Neurospora crassa OR74A: one gene and its partner. The protein of the gene in region 2 binds, or shares a complex with, the protein of the main gene of each other region. Links are inferred from orthologs where the notes say so. Each region holds a gene or a part of one and is shown on either strand. Other genes may lie near its edges.

What was found. Proteins that work in one complex are often made in the same cells at the same time.
Region 1: the proteins of NCU04191 (region 2) and NCU04116 are in contact, whole or in part, in a cryo-EM structure (PDB 8YF5), measured with the Komagataella phaffii proteins. The link is inferred for Neurospora crassa OR74A from reciprocal best matches to the Schizosaccharomyces pombe genes din1 and rhn1. Residues at the interface, in XP_002490393.1 of Komagataella phaffii: Ser62, Lys63, His64, Phe65, Leu66, Leu67, Gln147, Lys154, Lys186, Lys188, Cys189; in XP_002490270.1 of Komagataella phaffii: Gln19, Tyr59, Asn62, Gln66, Arg105, Val109, Gln112, Arg113, Lys114.

What each region holds. Positions count from the first base shown.
Region 1 is NC_026505.1:4,895,285-4,906,046, reverse strand, and holds NCU04116 (DUF618 domain-containing protein), read right to left. Parts: upstream 7,362-10,762; 5' UTR 6,823-7,361; coding exon 6,725-6,822; exon of another isoform or gene 6,650-6,724; coding exon of another isoform or gene 6,639-6,649; coding exon 6,547-6,638; intron 6,425-6,546; coding exon 6,224-6,424; intron 6,170-6,223; coding exon 5,382-6,169; 3' UTR 5,058-5,381; downstream 1-5,057. Other genes in the region: NCU04117 (ATP-dependent permease MDL2), read right to left, coding at 1,821-4,220; NCU04115 (clathrin light chain), read left to right, coding at 7,842-7,884, 7,958-8,193, 8,281-8,736; NCU04114 (hypothetical protein), read right to left, coding at 9,157-9,218, 9,283-9,343, 9,461-9,548, 9,721-9,725; NCU04113 (hypothetical protein), read left to right, coding at 10,429-10,762.
Region 2 is NC_026505.1:5,149,625-5,159,961, reverse strand, and holds NCU04191 (rai-1), read right to left. Parts: upstream 5,587-10,337; 5' UTR 5,578-5,586; coding exon 5,410-5,577; intron 5,354-5,409; coding exon 5,111-5,353; intron 5,036-5,110; coding exon 4,976-5,035; intron 4,908-4,975; coding exon 4,900-4,907; intron 4,847-4,899; coding exon 4,752-4,846; intron 4,682-4,751; coding exon 4,511-4,681; intron 4,435-4,510; coding exon 4,135-4,434; intron 4,050-4,134; coding exon 3,856-4,049; 3' UTR 3,775-3,855; downstream 1-3,774. Other genes in the region: NCU04192 (vacuolar aspartyl aminopeptidase Lap4), read right to left, coding at 1-574, 633-975, 1,072-1,344; NCU17026 (hypothetical protein), read right to left, coding at 2,992-3,453; NCU04190 (exocyst complex component Sec8), read left to right, coding at 6,070-8,663, 8,739-9,480. UniProt on the Schizosaccharomyces pombe protein: Decapping enzyme for NAD-capped RNAs: specifically hydrolyzes the nicotinamide adenine dinucleotide (NAD) cap from a subset of RNAs by removing the entire NAD moiety from the 5'-end of an NAD-capped RNA.

The sequences.
Region 1 (10,762 bases), about 260 kb from region 2:
TCATCCAGTACAACGACAACAGAATACCTAGGTATGTAGTGTAATGACCGTTCAAGAGGGGGTATTACCTTGTAAGATCCGTCTCACACTATTTCTCTGGAGCAAATTAGCCCAAGTTCAGTGTAGAAAGAAGACAGTACCTCCAAGCAATCTGAGCATAGGTATCTAGGTAGATCGAGTAAGGAAAGCGAGCAGAGAAGCGCAGGCCCCGGCCGGGCTTCACATGAAACACAGTCACCGCATCTCACTAACAACCATATTCCAGAACTCAACCGGGGGCCCTTCATCGATCATTCCCCACACCATAATCATTTTAGTGTACGAAAACGAACAAGAGGACGGTAGCAACATGACCGGCTGTTCTCCAAGGGGTTTCTCGTTCCTGGCGAGAGACAGGGCTCCCTCCGCAACATTCGAACTTCAAACAAAGTACATTTGTGTTAACTCTTGACGACAAGATGCACCAAAACAGCTCCTTGGCTAGCAGCGTTGTATCGCAGTGACAACCTTGAGGTGAGTGGGGATGTTTTTGCCTCGGCGGGACTGTTTGGACCTGGATGCTGCAGTGCGGCGTTTCTCCTGGTGGGTCTTTCAAAACATTGGTCGCACTCGCCACCACCACCACCACCACCACCACCACCACCACGATGATGCTGACGACATGGGAGGCTCCGGAGGACTCGGGCTACGCTAGTGAAAAGGAGACGACAACCCGATTCTGGGGTTTGTCAATTTTAGAGTCTATAGTTAGTGTCCCATATAAACCCTTCCGAGGAACCTTTCTACGGAAACTGCGGAAATTGACATATGACATTTGGGGATCCGGCAATGAAGAGCAAAAGGACGATTGAATAGCAGGAATTTGGAAGACCTCTGTTTTCGCCAAATTTGTTTGATATGGTACTGTATCTTGTGTTTTAGTCCCACTGACCACTACACTCATTCATGCTCGACAACCCGTGGAGCATTTATTTTGAGTGTATAGAGAGTAGCCTGTCCCTGATAAAATTGTTGAGATTTTCGCTTATACCTTGGGTATACTCTGACTACGCATTTCAGCGTCTTCAGTACTCCTTTGGACTCAATATTTAGGCTGTTCTTGGACAAACATACCCCAAAGGGACTTTAGTCTAGCCGATGTGTTTTCGAATTATTATAAGTCCTGTAATAATTTTGCAACGGCCTTTTTTGACCACAATGAGCGTTTATGGGACTGGTTTATAAGACCAGTCGGTCGATCGCCCACTGAAGCAAAGGTCTCATTGATTCTGTCATAGACGAGACGATGTAATTGCCAAATGTTCCTTATTTGTTTTTATCTATTCCTTCTAGTACTCCAAATCGGCTCTCCCCAAACCTCCCCAGCAGTGCCGTTCTCCTTCGCTCTCCAGCATCCGATCTATCATACATCGTACATATAGCTATCCTAACCAGCCATCCATGATCGGGTCTAGAGTGGAGAAAGAGAGTGCCCTAAAAAGGAGATCTGAAAATAATAATAACAAACATAGCAAGTAAAATACGTGACATGTACACAGTAAAAAGGTGACGATGCCCTCCTCCTCTGAAGCGAGCATCGCGTGAAGCATGGACCTTGACTTTTGGTCACTTGCTCGGCGGGTATATGGTAGAAGATGCGGGAGATTCATGCCTGGGTCTGGGCCTGTGAGGGATAAGATATCTCTCTGTGTCAGCGGCCCGACCGGGGAGCTTGTCCCACGTGAGTAAGTGGCTGACAATGCCTCAAACTCATTACCATCTGCTGTAGACTGGGGTGTGGGAGTGTGACGGATTGCTGAAAATATCATTCAGCCATCACTTTACTCCCTCACTGGCTCCTTGTGCGACTTCACATCCTTCTCCACCGCATCGTCAACGTCATTCTCCGCCTCCGCAAATTCCTCCTCAATCTCCTCAACCTCACTGACATGAGGATCCCCAGAGGGAGGGCGGTGGTCCGGGGAGACATCACCACCGCTCATCTGCCACTCCATCAGCTTACTGAAGTGGCTGTCCTTGTTGGCGCTCAGCTCTGTGTAGCTGCCAATCTCAGCCACGGTACCCTCGCTCGAGAGCACAATGATCTTGTCAGATCGCTTAATGGTGGACAGTCTGTGAGCAATCGAAATGGTGGTGCTGCGGCCCTTGAGGAGTTCCGCAAGGGCAGAATTGACCAGGGTCTCGGATTCGGCGTCCAAGGCGGAGGTAGCCTCATCCAAGATAAGAATATCGGGGTCCTTGAGGAGGGCGCGAGCAATGGCGATGCGCTGCTTCTGGCCACCGGAAAGCTGGGCGCCACGGGCGCCGACCTGGGTCTCGAGGCCTTCGGGGAAGTCGCTAATAAAACCGCAGTTGGCCTTCTGGGCAGCCGCAATGATCTCGGTGCGCGGAGCCCGTGGACGGCCGTAAGCAATGTTTTCGGCAATGGTACCCGAAAAGAGGACTGGCTCCTGTGAGACCATGCCGATGCGGCGGCGGAGAGACTTGGCGTTCATCTTGGAAATGTCGATGCCGTTGATGGTGATGCTACCGGATGTGGGGTTATAGAAGCGCAAGAGTAAGGAGGCCACGGTGCTTTTACCTCCGCCTGAAGGGCCTACAATGCACACGTTTGTGCCCGAGGGGATCTCAAAGTCGAGGCCATTGAATATCGTAACTGCAGGTCTGGTAGGGTAGGCGAACGTTACATTCGAGAACTTGATGGGACCTTGCGCAGATTCAACCTTCACACCAACGGTCTGGGGGATGGCCGGCTTGCGATCCTCGAGCTCGAACAAACGACTCGCTGCGCCGACACCCTTCATCAGTTCCGAGTAGAAGCCGCTAACACCGAAGAGACTCGAACCAGCAAAGACAGTATACATCATGAACGAGGTCAAATCGCCCAGAGACATGGCCCCTGAGCGCACAAGGTTCCCGCCGACAATCAAGAGAGCCAGGATCGCCAGATTTCCTGCATACGACGTACTGCTGAAAAAGACACCCGAGACAATGGCCTCCTTCCGGCCCAGGGCGAAAATCTTTCTGACCTGCTTGTTGTAGCGACCCACCTCTTGCACTTCAGCGGCAAAGGCCTGGCTGGTCTTGATGTTACCCAACCGTTCCTCGGCGATCTTCATCAGTGAGCCGACGTTCTTCTGGATCTGCCTGCTCAAGTTGCGAATGTTGCGACCGTAGAGAACCGCTCCAAGACCGATAGGGGGAACCATGATGAGGATAATGGATGTCAGCTTGGGGCTGAGCCAGAACATGGCCGCGAAACCCGCCGCTCCGCTAACCATGGAACGGAGACCATCAGACACGTTCTGAGTAATGCTCTTGCCCACGACAACCGTGTCGGAGTTCAGTCGCGAGATCAGATCACCGACCCTGTTGGCATCGAAGAACTCGGCATCCTGGACGTAGGTGCGGCGGTAGAGATTCGTGCGCAACCGAGCCACGACGCGCTCGCCGACGATACGGAGAATGATGATTCTGCCAAAGTTGGCCGTCGCACCAAGAGTGAGAAGACCAGCGAGGCCGCCGAAGAACTGATAGAGGGTAAGACCGAAGAGCCGAACCTCGCCGGCGGGACCCTGGGTGGAAAGATCCAGAATTCTGCCGATCGAGAAGGGGATGGACATGGTGACCGCGGACGAGATGAGAAGCAGGACGAATGCGACACTCATCGCCTTGACCTCGGGGCGCGCAATCTTGATCAGACGCCAGACCTCGGCGAAGCCGGGCTTGGTGCCTGATTGGGATTTGCCATCCTTGGAAAGACGAGCGCTCATGTTGATATGGGCGGCCTTATGCGCCCTCTCGCTTTTCGTAAAACCGTGTACCTTGAGGTGTTCTTCAGATGTATATTCCTTGACCTTTTCAACGTCCTTTGCCGCCTCTTCTGCTGTCTCTGCCGCAGCTTCCTTGGCCGGCTGCTCCCGTAGGCGAGTTTGTGAGGTCGATAGCTGGCGGAGAAGGCCGAAGGGGGAAGTCCAACGTTGGGATTGTACGCATGGTCGTGATCCGGGATGGGAGGATGAGAAAGGAACCGAAACGATGGTAAAAGATGTCGTCGAGGGCCGCTGAACTGACGAGAACGGACGGCAGAATTTTGCGGACAGAATCGAGGAAGTCATAGTGGGCGATCGTTGGAACGGCAGCAAAGCCGCGAGCCCGGCGCCGCTACCGCCGCATTGGGGGAGCAGCACGGCGCGGCGCACCGCTACCCCCGTAACCATGGCTTGAAGTATATGTGTCTTGGGTAGGTCGAGTGTGTATGTGACTAGGTACTAGGCTCGCTGTATCGTAGAGTTTCGGTGTCGAGTTTCTATCATATCATGTCGGTGTTGTGCAGTGGGCTATGTTACTAATTGCCTGATGCGAGACCGCTAGCGCGCATGCGCGCCTGTTTCTGCGCTTGTCAATGCCCGGTTCCCTTGAGTCCCTGCACTGCGTGCGAATGGGTGAGTTTGGTGATGTGGAATGTGGTTGAGGAACTGTTGAAGGAAACGTGGAGAAAGAAGTGGTGGAAAGGTTCCGAGGTCGAGGGACGGGACGGACGGCGGGGGGGATGATGGAATGAAGTCGGGATGACACCCAGGCAGTTCGGTCGGCTCGGCCGTCGGTGCAAAAACCCTTGCTTGTCCCGGCGGACGGGATCTCAACTTCAGTGGTCAATCGCCGGTTTGGCGCTGCAGCAACTGCGATTGATTCGCCGCTCAAGCTCTGGGGACCACGACGGCGGGAGGGCGGCTTCGATTCCCTTGTTCAATTGTCCCTCTCCCCCCCCCCCCCCCCCCCAAAACAGGGCAAAGCGCGCATCTTTCACCTGCAGTCGGACATTTCGTCATTCAGCAGCGAAGAGCAAGCCACCACCCGACAACGATGCCGGCGGCATCCACTGTCAATTCCGGAATGCGTTCAACGATGTCGGTACCTTCTACAAGTGGCCCGTGCTCAAGCTTGGCCCATTCCACTCATGCCACTTATTTGTACCTCAGGGGTATTGAAGCTGTGCGGACGTCATCAACTTCAAAGGTCATCATGGTAATGAAAAAAGACGAAAAAGACGATCGCTTGTGTAAATGCCGATGATTTTATTCACGATATTTCTACAGCGAACCGAATGGCGCTTTGCCCGTCAAGAATGAAGCATGCCAATAATCCTTAGTCCTGTCCTTCTGTATCTCCACATACTCGCTCCAGAGAAGGTTTCAGGCCCGCGCCAAAATGCCACATGAATGATGATTCTCGCCATACAGCCATTATCGTTCCCCTAGACCAGCAATAACGGCAACAACTCCAGAGTGTTGGGCCATATGCACTCAAACTGATACAAAGGTAGAAAAACTTCAGTTCGGTCAAGTTTTGCTTCCAAAAATCTTCTCCCCGTCCTTGTTCTAAATCGTGCTTTCCTTCTGGATCATCTCGGCGACATCGGCATCTATGCCTACGTCAGGAATGTCGGCAGTCTCGTCGATCTTGCGCTTTTTGGCCTCTCGAGTTGGAACAGACTCATATTGAGAAGCGAGGGCGGACAGCATCTCAATGCCAGGAGCAGATCCAGTTGGGTGAGTATGACCGTTCTGCGGCTGTTGTTGCTCAGACGGGCGATGATCGTAGAAATCGTCGTGATCTTGGACGTGGGGCGGCGTGAGTGCTTCAACCTGAGGACGGGCGATGCCGTGGCCATCCGAGCTAGATGGAGCGCGCTCCTCACCGGTAGCCGGCTCTTGGGTATTGTGAGGCAAACCTCCAATGATGCTGAGCTCAATTGCTTGCTTCTTCTCCTCAACTGCCGTCTTGCGGGTGCCTAGATCCCTGAGCTGTGATTGCTCGGCCTCCAAGGCCTGTCGGTTGGAGCTCAACATCTTCTCCAATGCGCTGATCAGCTCTTCGCGGGTCTTGATGCATTCCGTCACGGCTCCCTCAGCATTGGCAAGGTTTTTAAGAAGCCCGTTGAGTCGCGCGGCATACACTGGCGCCTGAGGAGGAGCGTGGGCCGGATCCATCAGCTTGCTGTAGTCCGAATTGGCGGTAGTAAGGCTTGTCTTCAACGCCTGGGCACTCTTGGAAACTGCCTGCTGTGAGGTAACCAAGGGTGCCAACTCTGGAGGCACCGCTGCAGCTGGCGACGACAACGATGTGGAACCGAACATTGTTCCACCGGAGCGGGCTGAGTCAAGCTCTGGATTGAACAAGTTAGTAGCTTGTCTGCGGAAGGGCTGAGGCCACGGCTTACCTCTTAGTCGAGAGTCTATGGCGTCCTGGACTTCTATGGGGAATATCTTGCGTTCTCTCCAAACATCAACAACCCTTCGGAGCTTGTTCTGGATGTCTGACGAGGCGCCCTTATAAGACAACGCGGTTGCATCTGCGATGAATGGAGAGAAAGCCTGAAGGAAGTCATCCTTGTTGCGAGCTTTGGATTGCTGCGTCACCTCTATGAGAAAGACGAATAAAGTCAGCATTCAGTCCCAAACGAGAAGAAAGAAACCCAGAACGAACGCCGGGGGATGCACATCACATGCAGCCTATGTGGGAGAGCCTGGGAAATGCACGCACCGTTTGCAAGATAAATCATGTTGAGCCTCTTGGGACTGGGGAGGTCCTTCAGCTTGGTCAACCAGAGATGGACAGTCTGGGCAGCATGTCGCCTAAGATACATCAACAGTCAGTTCGGCGGTCGAGACATCAAACAGCAGGTGAATGCGGTCGTCGGTCGTGGGCAGCGGGAGCTTACCGATGGAACATGATCCACTGAGCGGTGGTTGCAATGCTCTCGTGAGTCTCAGTGAGTGCAGAGAGCTTAGAGAGCACAGCATCCTCGTTATACGCCATGGTGAAGCTTTAGGCGAAATTTGTTGGAAAGTGTTGGAAAAAGTGGTTGTTGATGGTTGGTTGGTTGGTGGGTGTGATGGACGGGGCAGATGTTCAAGATATGCGGTGTCGGGTTTATTCAGAACTCATCTACAGCAGTACGAAAAGGTATCCGTGATGTTTGCGTGTAAGTAGCAGGGACTCCAGACGCGGCCGAGTGGTGATCTAGAATATGGATCGAAAGCCCTTGGGAACAACCTCAAATGGCAGAAGCGTGGACTATCAACACAACACACTAGATGACGGCAAGAGAGAAGTGCTCAGCACGAACTAAGCACCTAGTCAAGCTCTGTGGTCCAACTACACCGGAGTCGTTTCCCTGCTATTACCAATGCTGTCACCAGGAAGAGTTTGCAGTGCAAAGCGCAAATGAGCGTGATCTGGATGCTCTGTGACAAACAACTGAAACCACAGCGAGGTGAGTGCTGAATGTTGTTGATGAAAGGAAGAAGAAGAAGAAGAAAAAGAAGAAGAAGGAAGAAAGAAGTTGTCGACGGGAGGTGGTGGGACGGAACGAAGCAGACGTTGGAGCTTCCTCCATCCGTCCAATGCGAGGGCAGGCAGGGGAAGAGGGACAACGGAACGCCTGCCGCACGCAGACAATGGAGTTGCCTGCCGGTACCTAAAGGTAGCTGTTACTACCTCTACGGCTTCCCCTGGCCAAATGGAGAGGCCCAAGAGGGTCGCTGTTACTGTGGACAAGTGCCAAAGTGCCCCAGTGGCCGCTGTGAGTGGCGTCCCGTCGCAACCTGGAACCTGGCGCGATCAGGAGCGCTGGGGTGGGCTGCAACTCGGACTCCCGCAGTGCAACACCAACACCAAAAGACACTTCCATCAAACAACGAAACACCTTGCCTGTTTCGCAGCTTTCTTCGATCCTCCGTCCTACCCAATATTTCCGTTTTTCAGTCCACTTCTCCAGCCTCCAGTCTTGTCCGTTCGCGCCGATCTACCAAAAGTCAAATCACACCACCCACATCATGGCTGACAGATTCCCCTCGCTGGAGGAGTTCGACTCCGGCGGTAAGCTTGGCGTTGTTTGGAGATCCCCTTACCTTGCTGTTACTGCCTGCTAACATTCAAACCCCCACAAAAGCCCAGACCGAGATCAAGGAGGGTTCTGGAAGCCCCTCGGCCTCCAACTTCCTCGAGCGCGAAAAGGCGCTTCTCGGCGACGATGCCAACCAATTTGCGACAGTTGAGGATGCTGGTTTCGACGATGACAACGACCTCCTAGGGGGTGGCCTTGACTCCTCCGCTGGCGCCGGCGCTGGCCTTGAGACTAGCGCTGCTTTCGAGAGCCAGTTCCCCGACCTTTCCGCAGGCAACGAGGTACGACTAAATAATGATGATACCAAAGATGTCGACACAGCACGTAATCATGGTCTTGGGTTCTAACATGGGGCATCTTCACTTTAGTCTGTTGCGCCAGGCGGTACCATCACTGGCGCCGGTCCTTCCGTCACCTACAACTCTGGATATGCGCCATACGCCCAGGAGGAGCAAGAGCCCGAGGTGATCAGAGAGTGGCGCGAGAAGCGTGATGCGAAGCTTGCCAAGCGGGCGGAGCAGTTCGCCGCCCAGAGAGCCGAGACCATCGCGGAGGCGCAGAAGAACATTGACGAATTCTACGAGAACTACAACAACAAGAAGGAGAAGGCCATTGGGCAGACCCGCAAGGAGGCCGAGGAGTTCCTTGCCAGCCGCGAGGACACCACATCGGGAGGCACGAGCTGGGAGCGCATTGCCAAGCTGGTTGACGTTAGCGGCAAGGGAGCTAAGGGCGGTGCTGCTGGTTCCGGCAAGGAGCGTTTCCGTGAGCTCCTGATAAGCCTAAAGAAGGACGAAAAGGCCCCCGGTGCCTCGGGGATTTAAAGCGCTTACTTGATCTGCCCCCATGACAAAGGGAACGCCTGGTTACCACTATTCACAGGTTTCACACCTCCATGGCCACTACTGCCCCATGGCCAAAAAGCCATAATTTTGTAATGATAGAAAAGACTTGACAGCTGCAGCCATCAGTGTTTGGAGCTTGGTAATCGAAGCGCCGAGACCCAATGGATCACGATTTCCACGGTTACAGTAGCTCTCCCAAAGGTGGTCGGTGGAATCCATGATGCAAATAGGGAATATCGGCGTGGCGGCCTACTTCTTGGAGGTATCACCCAAAGCGGCCTGCCCTCTGCCGCCATCTATGCTGCTCTTTGCGACTATACACATATTCAAAGGGATTCTCGTGCTTCTATCATGACCAGTAGCACCGCCTTCGTTGACTATCGTGGTAGGACGGCTAATTTAATCCTCCGAGAACCAGGTGTTGTAGCCGAGAACCTTGCGGGACATGGCGTACATGGAAGCTGATGTACAGTTAGCGGAAGGAGCAAGGACGAAGCGATAAGCCATCAATGAAGGTATACGCACCGCCGAAGGTACCCCACATGGCAATGTTGAAGGTGGTCATGATGATGCCGCTGCGAGGGCCCTGTTCGCGATTTTGTCATCAGCCCTTATCCCGACAAAACCTCCCTCTCCGTCTCTCCCTCTCCTCCTTCCCATCTGTTGATTCCCCAACCATCCTCAAGTGTCGACTTCAACTCACAATCTTCCAGAGGCGGGTGTGGTTCTTGAAGGCCTGCTGGTAGTAGCGCTGCTTCTCGGGGACGTGGTTGGGGGCGTTGACGAGGCCGCTGCAGTCGGGGAAGAAAGAGAGCTGTTAGCCTGGGATTCCAAAATCGTACGACGAACAATAGTGCGTCATGACGACAGGTAATTGGACCTGGGGCGGCGTCCGCAATGCGCGCAGTCGCTGGAGGGTCGTCGGATCGTCGAGGAGCTCGCAGCCGGAGGGGAGAAGCTTACGGCATCTTGAAATTGTTGTCGGGGGTCGTTGGGTGGAAGATTCCGGGGGGGTGATGCGAGGGGTTGGTGTGATGATGTCGAATGCGTGGAAAGGACGGAGAGTTAGCTTTGAACCTCTCACTGCTTCAGGTTTCTCGGCTCGGGGCTTCCTGTGGTGCACGGACTTGTGGATGGTGGAGACTGCAGACCCGACGGCGGAAGCTCTGCCTGCCTGCCTGTTTGCCAGGTGTAAGGTTTGGTCAGTGCTCACAGCTTTCAGCTGCTGCTGATGCCTCGACATTGACCTTCAGACTGAGCAGCTCAGCAGACTCACTGCCTGCCGGGAAGGATGGGGGATTGAAACACATGATCGTAGGATGACTAAGAAGCAAGTTAGGGAGCGATCCCCGGCCACACCTGCAAGGTCCCCTCCACTTTTGTGTCCCCTCCACTCCAGAACGTCAAAGCTTCCAGCCCGAGGAGTTTCCACATCCCCTCACAACCCCATCCGTGGGATGGACCGCCCGCGATACCCCAGAACTCGAGTCAGTCAACGAAGCCCCAGGTACCTCGCGATCTATACGAACGATACGAACAACGACGCCAAATAACCCAGCGGCAACCTCGAAGCGAAAAAGAAAATGAACATGATCGCATCAGACAGCCGCTAAGAAGAGTCCCCGCCGCTCATATGCCCAATTCTCTGTGTCGAGCGGCCACAATTCCATTATGCGAGTCGTGCCTCCTGTGCTGCGACATGTAGCTCGCTCGCGCCGCTCCACCATATCGCACTTATACACGGACGCTGTGCACTTACAGGCGTCTGGACTACCATCATGCGTCAACTTTTCAACGAGCGCGTGCTGGTCGCGGTCGTTGACGGCATACGCACTTTCGGAGACTTTGGCGGCGGAAGAGGACCACGGTGTTCGGAATACAAAGAAGGCACGGGGCTCGGCAGTGCAGGCGCTACCAGGCCAAGCGTCTACCACACACGACCTGTCAGCATGGTCGGGCTTTCGGTCATCCCGCATCGCTAACCAGCCCTTCAACCGTGACGATT
Region 2 (10,337 bases):
GTCTGGCCCATGAGACCGGGGCCGAGGCCGGTGCCGCCGATGAAAGCATTTTGGTAGAGAGTGTTGGTGTTGGCAACGAGAGCCTCGACGGTGCGCTCGATAACAATGGGGAGGAAGTTACCGCGCGCACCCTGGCGGAGGAGGGAGCCAATCTCCTCGTCGTCGAAAAGCGCTACGAGCTTGATGACGCCAGAGTCCTCATCGTCACGGGCGTGGAGGAGGGCCATGAAAGCGGCCCACGAGCAGAGCTTGTCGTCGATGCGGCCGGCAAAGATGAACTCCTTGTCGATACCACCAACTTGGGCGGGCTGAGAGTCGTAGAGCTCGAGCTCCCAGTTGAGAATGTTGGTGTAGTCCTCAAGCTTGAGCTGGGAAGCAATGAGCTTGACGAGCTTAGGAGGCTGGGTAGAGACGAAAGAACCCTTGGGGCCAATGGGCTTCTCGGAGGAGGCGGTGGAAGAGGAGTTGAGGTCGCTGTTATCGAGGCCAATGATGGGGGTCATCTCGGTCTCCTGGTTGTTGTGGCCCGTCATACCAATGCCGAAATGGGGAGCCAGAGTAGGGATACGAGCAACTGGAAAGTGTGTGTTAGCTTTCATCGGATGGAATTGGGTTGGGGGGAGTCAACATACTGGGCCAATCAAGCTTGACGACCTTGGTAGAGGTCTTGCCCGTCTCGGGATCCTTAACAATGACACGACCACCGATGCTCAAGTCTCTGTCCCACCATGTGCTGTTGAGAGCGCCGGCATACTGGGCAATGCCGAGCTGGACATAGCCATCGTGGCTAGGCTTGGTGCTGATAGGCTTGAGGCGGGCTGTGAGGGCGTCGATGTGACCGGCGACCATAGCAAGACCGTTGCCTGGCTTATACGCCTTGCCGACGGCCCAGGCGATGATGGAGCTGCCATTGCGAGTGGTGTAGTACTTGCCGCCGGGCTTGATCTGGCCAGACCAGGAGTCTCTGCTGTGAAGCTACAAATTACAAGGCGCTTAGTCAGTTTCGGTCCTTGTGCCTCGGTTGTGGTATTTCAACTGCGGGAGGGGGGCTGGGAAGCTGTGACGGCTTACCTCTTTGTAGCCGGCCTTGTCAAGCTTCTCCTTGAAGTAACCAACAGCGTGGAAAACGGTTGGGTTCTCGGTCATGAACTCGAGGTATGGCTTGGTGAAAGCCTCGGGCTTGATGTCCTTGGCATTGATCTGGTTGGCAGCAACAGGCTGCTGGGGCTGCTGAGGAGGAGCGTAGTATGTTTGCGAGGCCATCATGGACTGCTCGAGGGCTTGCGCTCGGAGAGACATCATGGATGTACGGGCAGCGAGATATTCGGGAGTGGCGCGGACCATTGTGTATATCTGGGTGATGCGGATGGATTTGTATGTTTTGGAGAGAAGAGAAATGAGAAGATGACAGGGAGGAACAAGAGGACGAGATGATGACACGCACGAGATGGCAACAGAAAGGAAGGCGGTCGGTCGGTGAACAGCTTCCACTTACAAAGGTGTACATGTACAGTAGGTAGCTACCTCTACCGGCTATAGGTTGCAGCTACAGCCTACAGCTACAGGGTACAGCACAGCGAGTAGGCGGTACCCCGGTTGCCAACAATCCGTCCAGGTGACGCGCTTATCACTGGCTAGGCGGTTCTGGGCAGCTGGAGTCAGCTACATGGTGGGCTCGGTGGGGTACTTGATCCCATCAAATGAGCTCTTTGATAGGCCGGATTTGGCCTTTGATGTCCCCGCGGCCCCAACCCCCGGCTCCTGCCTCATGCCAGGGCAAGATCGGCGCTAAGGTGCGCTGCAGTGATAAGCAGCCCTGGGTTAGAGGTCCATCGTATAAGGCAGGTAGAGCTCTCCCAGCTCAGTTGTACATTTGCACATTTGATTGACCTTCACTTCAATGACCATGATGAAGCAGAATACGTACAAGAAAAGCACTTACTAATTTCAATCCTTTTTGATCCTTAACATCTCAGAGTGAAACTGTTCGCGTCCATAGTCTTTTGCTTCTGTCAGTCAGCATCAATCTTGTGTACCCGACGAGTGTTTCATCAAGTCATCCGCTTGCGTCCAGATTCACTCGTCGATACCGCATTCCTGAGATACCTCACGGAATTAGCAAACTCGGTCTCATATTCTAAGTCGGATGGGTCTTGCTCACCGGACATATGGTGCTGTCAAAAAGATTACGAGACAAACACATCAGAATTGATCGTCCGTTCAAGCATGCAGAATAGTCGAGCAATCCATCAAGACTCTGAATCATCAAAGTGAGCATTCCAAACTGGTACATGACAATCTCTCCAATACATGTAGTCAGGTCAGTCGGATATGGTACCCGTATCCGTGCTCTGTTCACTTGGCAATACCAATAGCGACATGTGCTGGATAGAGCTGAGGTTCATGCAAATCTATCATATTTGTACGACCTTGCGATAGGTGTTCACGAACACAGCTGGATTATAAGGCAAGTGTGCAAACAATAAAGCATGAGGTAGCCCAAGTTCTGTCCAGTATATTCCGGTCCTGGCACGATATCTCATTGTGAAGAGTGAAGTTGAATAGTGAACCCATAGGGAGATTTGAGCACGAGACTGACCGTAACACGTCCTCTGACATTATCTTTTCGAGAGAGTAAAGAGTATGTTTGAATATCTACCAACAGGCGAGCTTGAACATAGTCTTCAACTCCATTCCCCTTTCTGCTTATAGGGCACATTTGGTGTAGATATTCGTACATCAGTCGTCGCAAACTGGCCTATCGACAAGTGCACTCATCATCTGAAGCTCAAACTCTTCCACTCCAAGATCTCTTTCGTTCCGAATACAATATTTGCACGCCGAGAGACGATAACTTCTCGAACAACCCAGACACGACTCCACCAGGGGCGAGAGAAGAATTTGAGAAGGGCGAGTGATCTCAGGTCGGACTTGGAAAAAGCGGATGAAACGGTACGCAGAAGATAATTGGCAGTAGAGTGCCTTTCCCCTTTATTTCAAGAGATCTTTGGAGATAGGCCGTAAGCTTGATGAGAACGATTGCCTCATCGGTGTACTGTCGCTTTCCCCCAGCCAGACAGTGACGAGCAAGGCATTGTGGTAGATATCTGTCATCAGCTGAACCTGAGACGATTTCTCGTCTTTGTCGGACTGGTTGATGCATATCGCATCTACCCAAAGCGTCGTGGAGAGGTTGGATTTAGATCGTATGCGTCTTAGAGCAGCGCAAAGGTTGTGAGTTGCATGGAAGGGAACGCCGTTGACAGCAATGGGAGAGGTAACATTCGGATCTCCCCAGACGTATGATAAGGCCGTATACTCCGTTTCCATTGACAGTTGAGTTATGTACAGTCTGCATTGGATGGGGTCTTGAAGACTGTTGGCCGGGAGAAGCTCGAGCAAGCGGATGTCTTTTTGAGAAGTGTCGAGACGCGTGGCGTGGATTGGGGTCATAATGATTTTAAAGGACCGCGAGTTATGACGGACGATTGCTGGACAGAGTCAAGCGATCTATAACCCAGAGAGTGAATGGTGGAAATGAATTCGTGGGTGAATGGAAGCATGGAGATTTTGATGGTTTGGGTTGTTGACAGGGAGGTGAACATTTGTTCAGTTGACAGCGGGGAGCTTCGCGTCTTTAGTGGGTTGAGATTAGATGGAAAGCTGCCTCGCGGCGTGCCTTATCACACGGAAGGTGCAGACAGGTAGGGTTGGATGATGGAAGACGTCGGAACTGGCAGGCAAGAACGAGGGGGGTGGCTGAGAAGCTACCGTGGGTTGCCCAACGCCAATGTACTTCTTTCTATTGGACACTGATGCACATAAGAAGACGTGTACTGCTTCGTCCAATTCAGCTTACTCTTCGGTCTCATTGTCTTCAGTAGGCGGCTGTGCCTGACGAAGCTCGAGCTTGATCCGCCAGTTCATGAACTCATCTGTGATGATGTCTCCGTGGCCCACCTCCTCGACTTTGAACACTTCGATTTCTGCCGACCGAGGCCTTCTCTTGATCCTCCACACGCCCTCGTCGGTGATGGTATGGCGAAGCCCTGAAAAGAGACTGTTAGTCATAGATTCCAAAGCATAAGACGCTTTGCTGGACTTCAAGAAGACAAAGGAAATGACAAGACTCACACTCGAGGAAGCCGTTAGCAAAGTTGACGCACGTATCCCCATCCCATTTTGGCCGCCCATTCTTCTTCACCATGAGCGGTATCTCCATCGTGCGGAACTCTTTGGTCTCAACCAGCAGCCCATCCTGCGTCCGGAATCCGACAATGATCTTGGGGACGCCTAGGAGAAAGGACTGGATCCAAAACTTCATGAGCTTACGCTCAAAGTTATTGGCCTGGCGCTCATTTTGGATTACTGCCGACGTCTTGAGCTCCACCCAGTTGATTGGATCGCCTTGAGTCCTTGGTTTGTCGTCCCATACTAAGTAAGAAAAGACGAGTTATTAGTTGGGGTTGACGAGAGGCGTTAGTATAGGTAGGGAGACAAGAGCACTAACTAGCATCAACCTCACCACCGATACAGAGAATGGTCTTGCCAATGCCTGTACGGACTACTGAGCAGTATTGCTCCTTGTTGTTCACGACATGATCGGGACGGCTTTCAATGAAATCGCGAGAGGTCTGGCCCCATGGTTTCGGAAGTGTGCTCAGAGTCTCAAACTTGTAGCCTTGGAAGCCAGGAGACGTCAGCTTACCAATTCAGCAGATATGAAAGACGTGGACAGTGAGTTAGCTTACCCCAGTACTGCATCACTTCTTGCGGGATTGGCCCGTTCCATGGCCGCTCGTTTGCTCTCGATGCTTGTTTGTATGCATGGTTCTCTTCGATAAATCTTGTCGCCGTCAGTCAAAATAGCATGGGGGCGGAAACCATGTGGTCGCTTACATGCAACCCTTTTACAGCCATGTTAGTATGACAAGGCTTCCCAAGTTAGATGGCCAAGCGGCAGGTGTGGACGAACTCTGTAAAGGGTAGCATTCATCTCAAACCCGTCGTCATCATCAAAGGGGGCTGCCATGATCTATCACGGTGTATATGATGTTAGTGTCCGATATACGAACGACATCATGAAACAGCTAGTCTAAGGGAGACTCGCCTTTGTCATCATGCCTCTCCAAGTTACGATGTGAGCATCGATCGGTTTCGACGTCTTTTGCTCATAGTCGGCTATGGTGGTGAGTAGGCTGTCCAGATGTTCGTCTACACTATCGTCATGTTTGATGAAGCTCTCGAAGCCCTTGGACAGGTCGACGTTGAGGTCTGGTGTGTAATACCACTTCAATGACTGAGCTCCAAGTAAGAACTTGTGATCGGCATCGTATGAGAAGCATGCAAATTCCTGGTCAGACAGTTAGCCTCTCTGGTCTTTGGATGTCTCTAGTAGGTTGTTTCTACCTTTGGCCGTTTGACCAGCTCACTCTTGCCCGCAAACCGTGCTACAGGCTGGATTGGGAAAGCGGCGGTCATGGTAGAAAAGAGCGGTTGTCCGGCGCTGTGTATGTGGATGAAGGCTCTAAATCTGGAATTCCAATGCCCAAGTATAAGGACTTGACGAGTTATCATTAATACTTGAAAGGAGGATAGATGTAGAGAAGAGCCAGGATACCTTTATTGAGGTGGAAGCATCTCGAGCTTGTAATTCATGTCTCGTGGAGGCCGCTGCCCCTGCAGTGATCCGTCGTGCGTGAGGCCCTGTCAGTGGGGTTACGTACCTATGTAGCAACGGCGGGACCCTCTGTAACAACAAACAAGCACTGTACATCCGTTTTAGGGGATCATGAACGTGGAGAGAGGAGGACTTCTTGAGCAACACCAACTAAAGCACCATCATTGACCAACCTAACCTTGACACCCGACGACTCAAGTCCTGGGTGACGACGACTCAACGTCCACTCAGTAACACCTACAATTCATACCAACTGTAGACGGGCCCGGCACACCAAGCAGTAGTTCCATACTGTATACCTTAGGCATGCCGATAATGAAGTACCGCGCAACACGATAGCTCTCCCTCCTCGCGACACCCGGACGCCGAGTCAAACACACACCACCATCATGGCCGACCGATACGGCCAGCAGCCGCAATCCTATCGGGGCAACAGCGGTTTCGGCAACCTTGGCCGGCGTAACGACGACTACGATCCCTACGGTGACGGATATCCCAGCGACCGCTATGGCACCAGCACTAACCCGGCTTCAAGACCATCGACGGCCTCCCGAAATGCGCCCCCGCCCCGGTCTGCCCAGCGTGGCCGCACGGGTGCCGGCGATATGCAGATCCAGTCCAATGCCGAGCGCCAGATTGGAAACGTGCTGGATCTGATCAAGAGAGAATGGCCCGCCATGGTCGAGACAGACTGCATCCCCGTCCAGCTGGCTCTACAGCTTCTCGACACCAGCTCCGTCGGCCGCGCCCACGAATACCGCAACTTCCAGCAGACACACCAGTTCCTCCAAGAGTCCCTCAAGAACATTGTCCACGACCACCACCAAGGCTTCAACAGTTCCATTGGTACATTCCACAAGATCCAAGGGAGCATACAGTCCTCCCAGAAGAAGGTGCGCGCCCTCAAGGAGTCGCTGGCAGCCTCCAAGACGGCACTCTGCACCACCAATCCCGAACTCAAACAGCTACATGCCACGTCACGCATGTACGATGGCGTCCTACAAACACTGAACGAGCTCGATGACTTGCGCACCGTTCCAGACCAGTTGGAGGCCAGGATATCCGAGAAGCGTTTTCTGACCGCCGTCGAGGTCCTGCAGAATGCGCTACGGAAGCTGAGGAAGCCCGAGCTGGATAACATTGGTGCCCTGAGCGACCTGCGAAGCTATCTTGCAAATCAGGAGACCGCCCTCATGGATATCCTGGTGGAAGAGTTGCACGAACATCTCTATCTGAAATCACCGTACTGTCAGGAAAGGTGGCAGAACCTGGCAAAGGTCCAGGGAATTTCTCATGAGACCTATGGAGACGCCCCAGGCGTGGCACCCTTCCACGGAATCTTGGACACCATTGACTGGGAAAAGTCCGTGGCTGAGGATCCCCAAAAGAATCCCGAGGCGGACACGTTTTACTATGTGACCCTCCTCGTTGAAGCTCTGAACAGACTGGGAAGGCTAGAGACAGCGGTCGACATGCTCAAGCAGAGGTTACCCGTCGAGCTTTTCGCGGTCGTCAATGAGACTATCAACGATGTAGACCAGAAGCATCCGAGCTCACTACGCGGAGGCGCGTCTGGGTCTCACGGCCTTAACATTTACGGTCACCGCGAAACCCGAATGCGAGCAGACGTCATTCACGATTTGCTATCGACGCTTTACGGCAAGTTCGAGGCCATCGCTGAGGGTCATCGGGTGCTACACGAAGCCATCAAAGCCTTGATTCGCCGTGAAGGTGCTGGCAACAACAGTGTGCTGCTAGGGGGCTTCAAGGAGCTCTGGAACCTCTACCAAAACGAGATTCGGGCACTCCTGCACAACTACGTTACCACCGATGCGGATGTCTATCAGTTCAGCCGTACACCCAGACCTGGCATGGGCATGAATGGCAGGGCGGATTCTGCCCGCGACAATCTCTTCAAGTTCTCCGAAGTTGATGCCAAGTCAGCCGAAATGGCCTCGGAATATGAGGCCTTGGACTCCATCATCCGGGCCGCCGTACCTGGACTTACGGACAGCACCCGGCGTGACAACAAGAAGGGTTCTTTGATCATCCCGCGATCTGAGCCAATTACTTCGAGGAAGTCGGCAGGGTACGGCTCAGGAAGCAGTCAACAGAACAGTGGCACTTACAAATCCCTGGTAGAGCCCAGCGTGTTCAACATGAGCCTGCTTCTACCACCTACTCTCATCTTCCTTCAGAGGTTGAAGAGCATTGTGCCCCCGGGGTCCGATCTGGCAACCAGCACGCTGACATCGTTCCTTGACAACTTCCTCGTCAATGTCTTCCAGCCTCAACTCGACGAGACCCTTGGAAAGCTCAGTGATACTGTCTTTGGCGAGGCAGACGCCTTTCAGCAAGACTCGGACTGGGCCCAAGTTGCGAAGCGGCCTGTGTACAAGGGAACCACAGCCTTCTTCACAGTCATCACAGCCTTTTGCCGGATGCTGGGCACTATTCCCCACGACCAAGCGCTGAGTACGCTCATCATCACCCAAATGGTCCGATACTACGACCGCTGCTTCAGCTGGTACAAAGCCCTGGTCACCAAGACACAAGAAGGGGGGGACAAGCAGATCAGGGAAAAGGAAAAGCTTCGGGCATCTGCCATTCTCGCCACCGAGCCTAGTGAAGTCCGCGAGACGATACAGAGGCTGTGGAAGTCGGAAAACCTGAACGATCTGGAGCTTCTTTACCGCGAGGTGAACCAGCTCATCGCGTGGGCCAACGGTCGGGACCTGGACGCCAGTGACATCATTCAGGATCGCGACATGATTCAGTCCATGTGTCTGCTATACACCAGTATGAAGTGGCTGTCGGTTAAGATCCACGGTCTGCGTCACATAACGCGTAACGAGACGGACTCATCCAAGTCGAGCTTCCCGACCAAGGCGGAGAAGAAGCGCTGGACGCTGCTGAACGACCCGAGCAAAGCTACAGGAGGGGAAGCCCCCGTTTACCTGCCTATGACGGAGGAGACCGTTGAGTAAGTTTACTATCCTATATATTTTCCTTCTTCAACCCTGATAAGTATTCGCTTGCTAACTCATTCCCCCCTTAGAAACTTTGATAGTATCCTAGTATCCTACGACGAGCTCGCCTCCACCGCCCTCCTCACTCTACACCTTGAAATCCGCACTCGCATCCTGCACTCCCTCCAAACGGCCCTGTCCCCGCTCACCACGGCCCCCTACCTGCTCGATCAGGAAGTCAACGAGCCGGACCCGGAGATCCTCTCGCTCAACTCGGAAATGGTGGCCTACGACGAAATTCTAGTGAGATGCCTCCGCCTGCGCGAGGTTCAGTTTGTCAGGAACGGCCTCGGCAAGCTGATCAACGGGTTCCTGATCAAGAACGCGCCCATGACGGCGCCCATGAACGCCAAGGGGTGCGGGCGCATGCAACTCAACATCCTTGTGCTGCAGCAGAACCTCAAGAATATCGAGGAAGGAGTCGATCTCGTGAGGGCAAGTAATTACTTTGAGATGTTTGAGCGCGGAGTGGATGCCATTCTCGAGAAAGCCAGGGAAGGCGTCGCCTCTTCTGGCTCCCAGGAAACTGGTGACGCAGGACGAAAAAGTGAAGACGCCGGAGAAGAAGGGGCGGAGACGCCCAACTCGAGAAAGTCGGCGGAAATTTTTGGGGACGATAAGGACCGGTTCAGCTACGATGAACTCAAGGCGCTCGTGGAGCTGTGTTATAGCGAGCAGTTGGCGGATCCGGAGCGCGGCGTGGCGGCGGCGGCGAAGAGGCAGATGGCGGATAAGTTGCTGAATTTGAGCGAGTACATGTGGCAGTCTTAGGTGGATTTGCAGGACATTTAGACTTGGGCTGGTATCATTAGCATGGTTAAGAGGTAGATTCGATAATTCACGAGTGTTAATTCTTATTTTTTATTCTCTTAGTATCACGTCTCTCATCTCGTGTATGTTCTTGGCTATTTCTCCCATCTCACATGTGTTGTTGTCACTTTGTTCTCATCACTTGTTTGACACACCTTGTCTACCTCTCGTCAGACTTTCAAGCAAGCCACTTCCCCAGCCAGCCGAAGTTCGTTGCTTCAATACCTGATGACGAGTAGGTAAATATTTCTCTACGTAGAGGTAGACAAAAACTCCCTTCCCCTCATTACGCGCCCCTCCCTCTTCCTTCTCCGACATCCAAGCCAAAGCGGACTCTTTCTCTCATCTGCTTGCAACCTGCACCATTGTCAAAGCAGCAGCTTAGATAAGATACCATCCTGCATATCCTTTTCGTGTATGCACACTTTGCACATGATGATGCATCAAGCTTGTCAGTGCTTACCGGTCATGTATGTAAAGTTGAGCTAGGTATGTATGCATGTATGTATGTATATATGTATGTATGTGCCTTTATCAAACTTGAACTGCTCGTCGGCTTAGTTTGCATAGACGACGCCGGTACCAACCAGTATGTGCATGTGTATGTGTATGTATGCAAGGCATCCTGGAGAAGGAGGGGATAGAGGTAGTGTAGTAGATAGGAAGAAATAACACCGATAGACGACTGTTTGTTGGAGGAAGGCAATGGTAGGTAGCAAAATAAGGCGGCTACTTACATCGTTCACCACCATTTTACTTGGCTTGGGTTGACGGACATATATATCATATGTACCTACATATGATGATCAATCAATCAA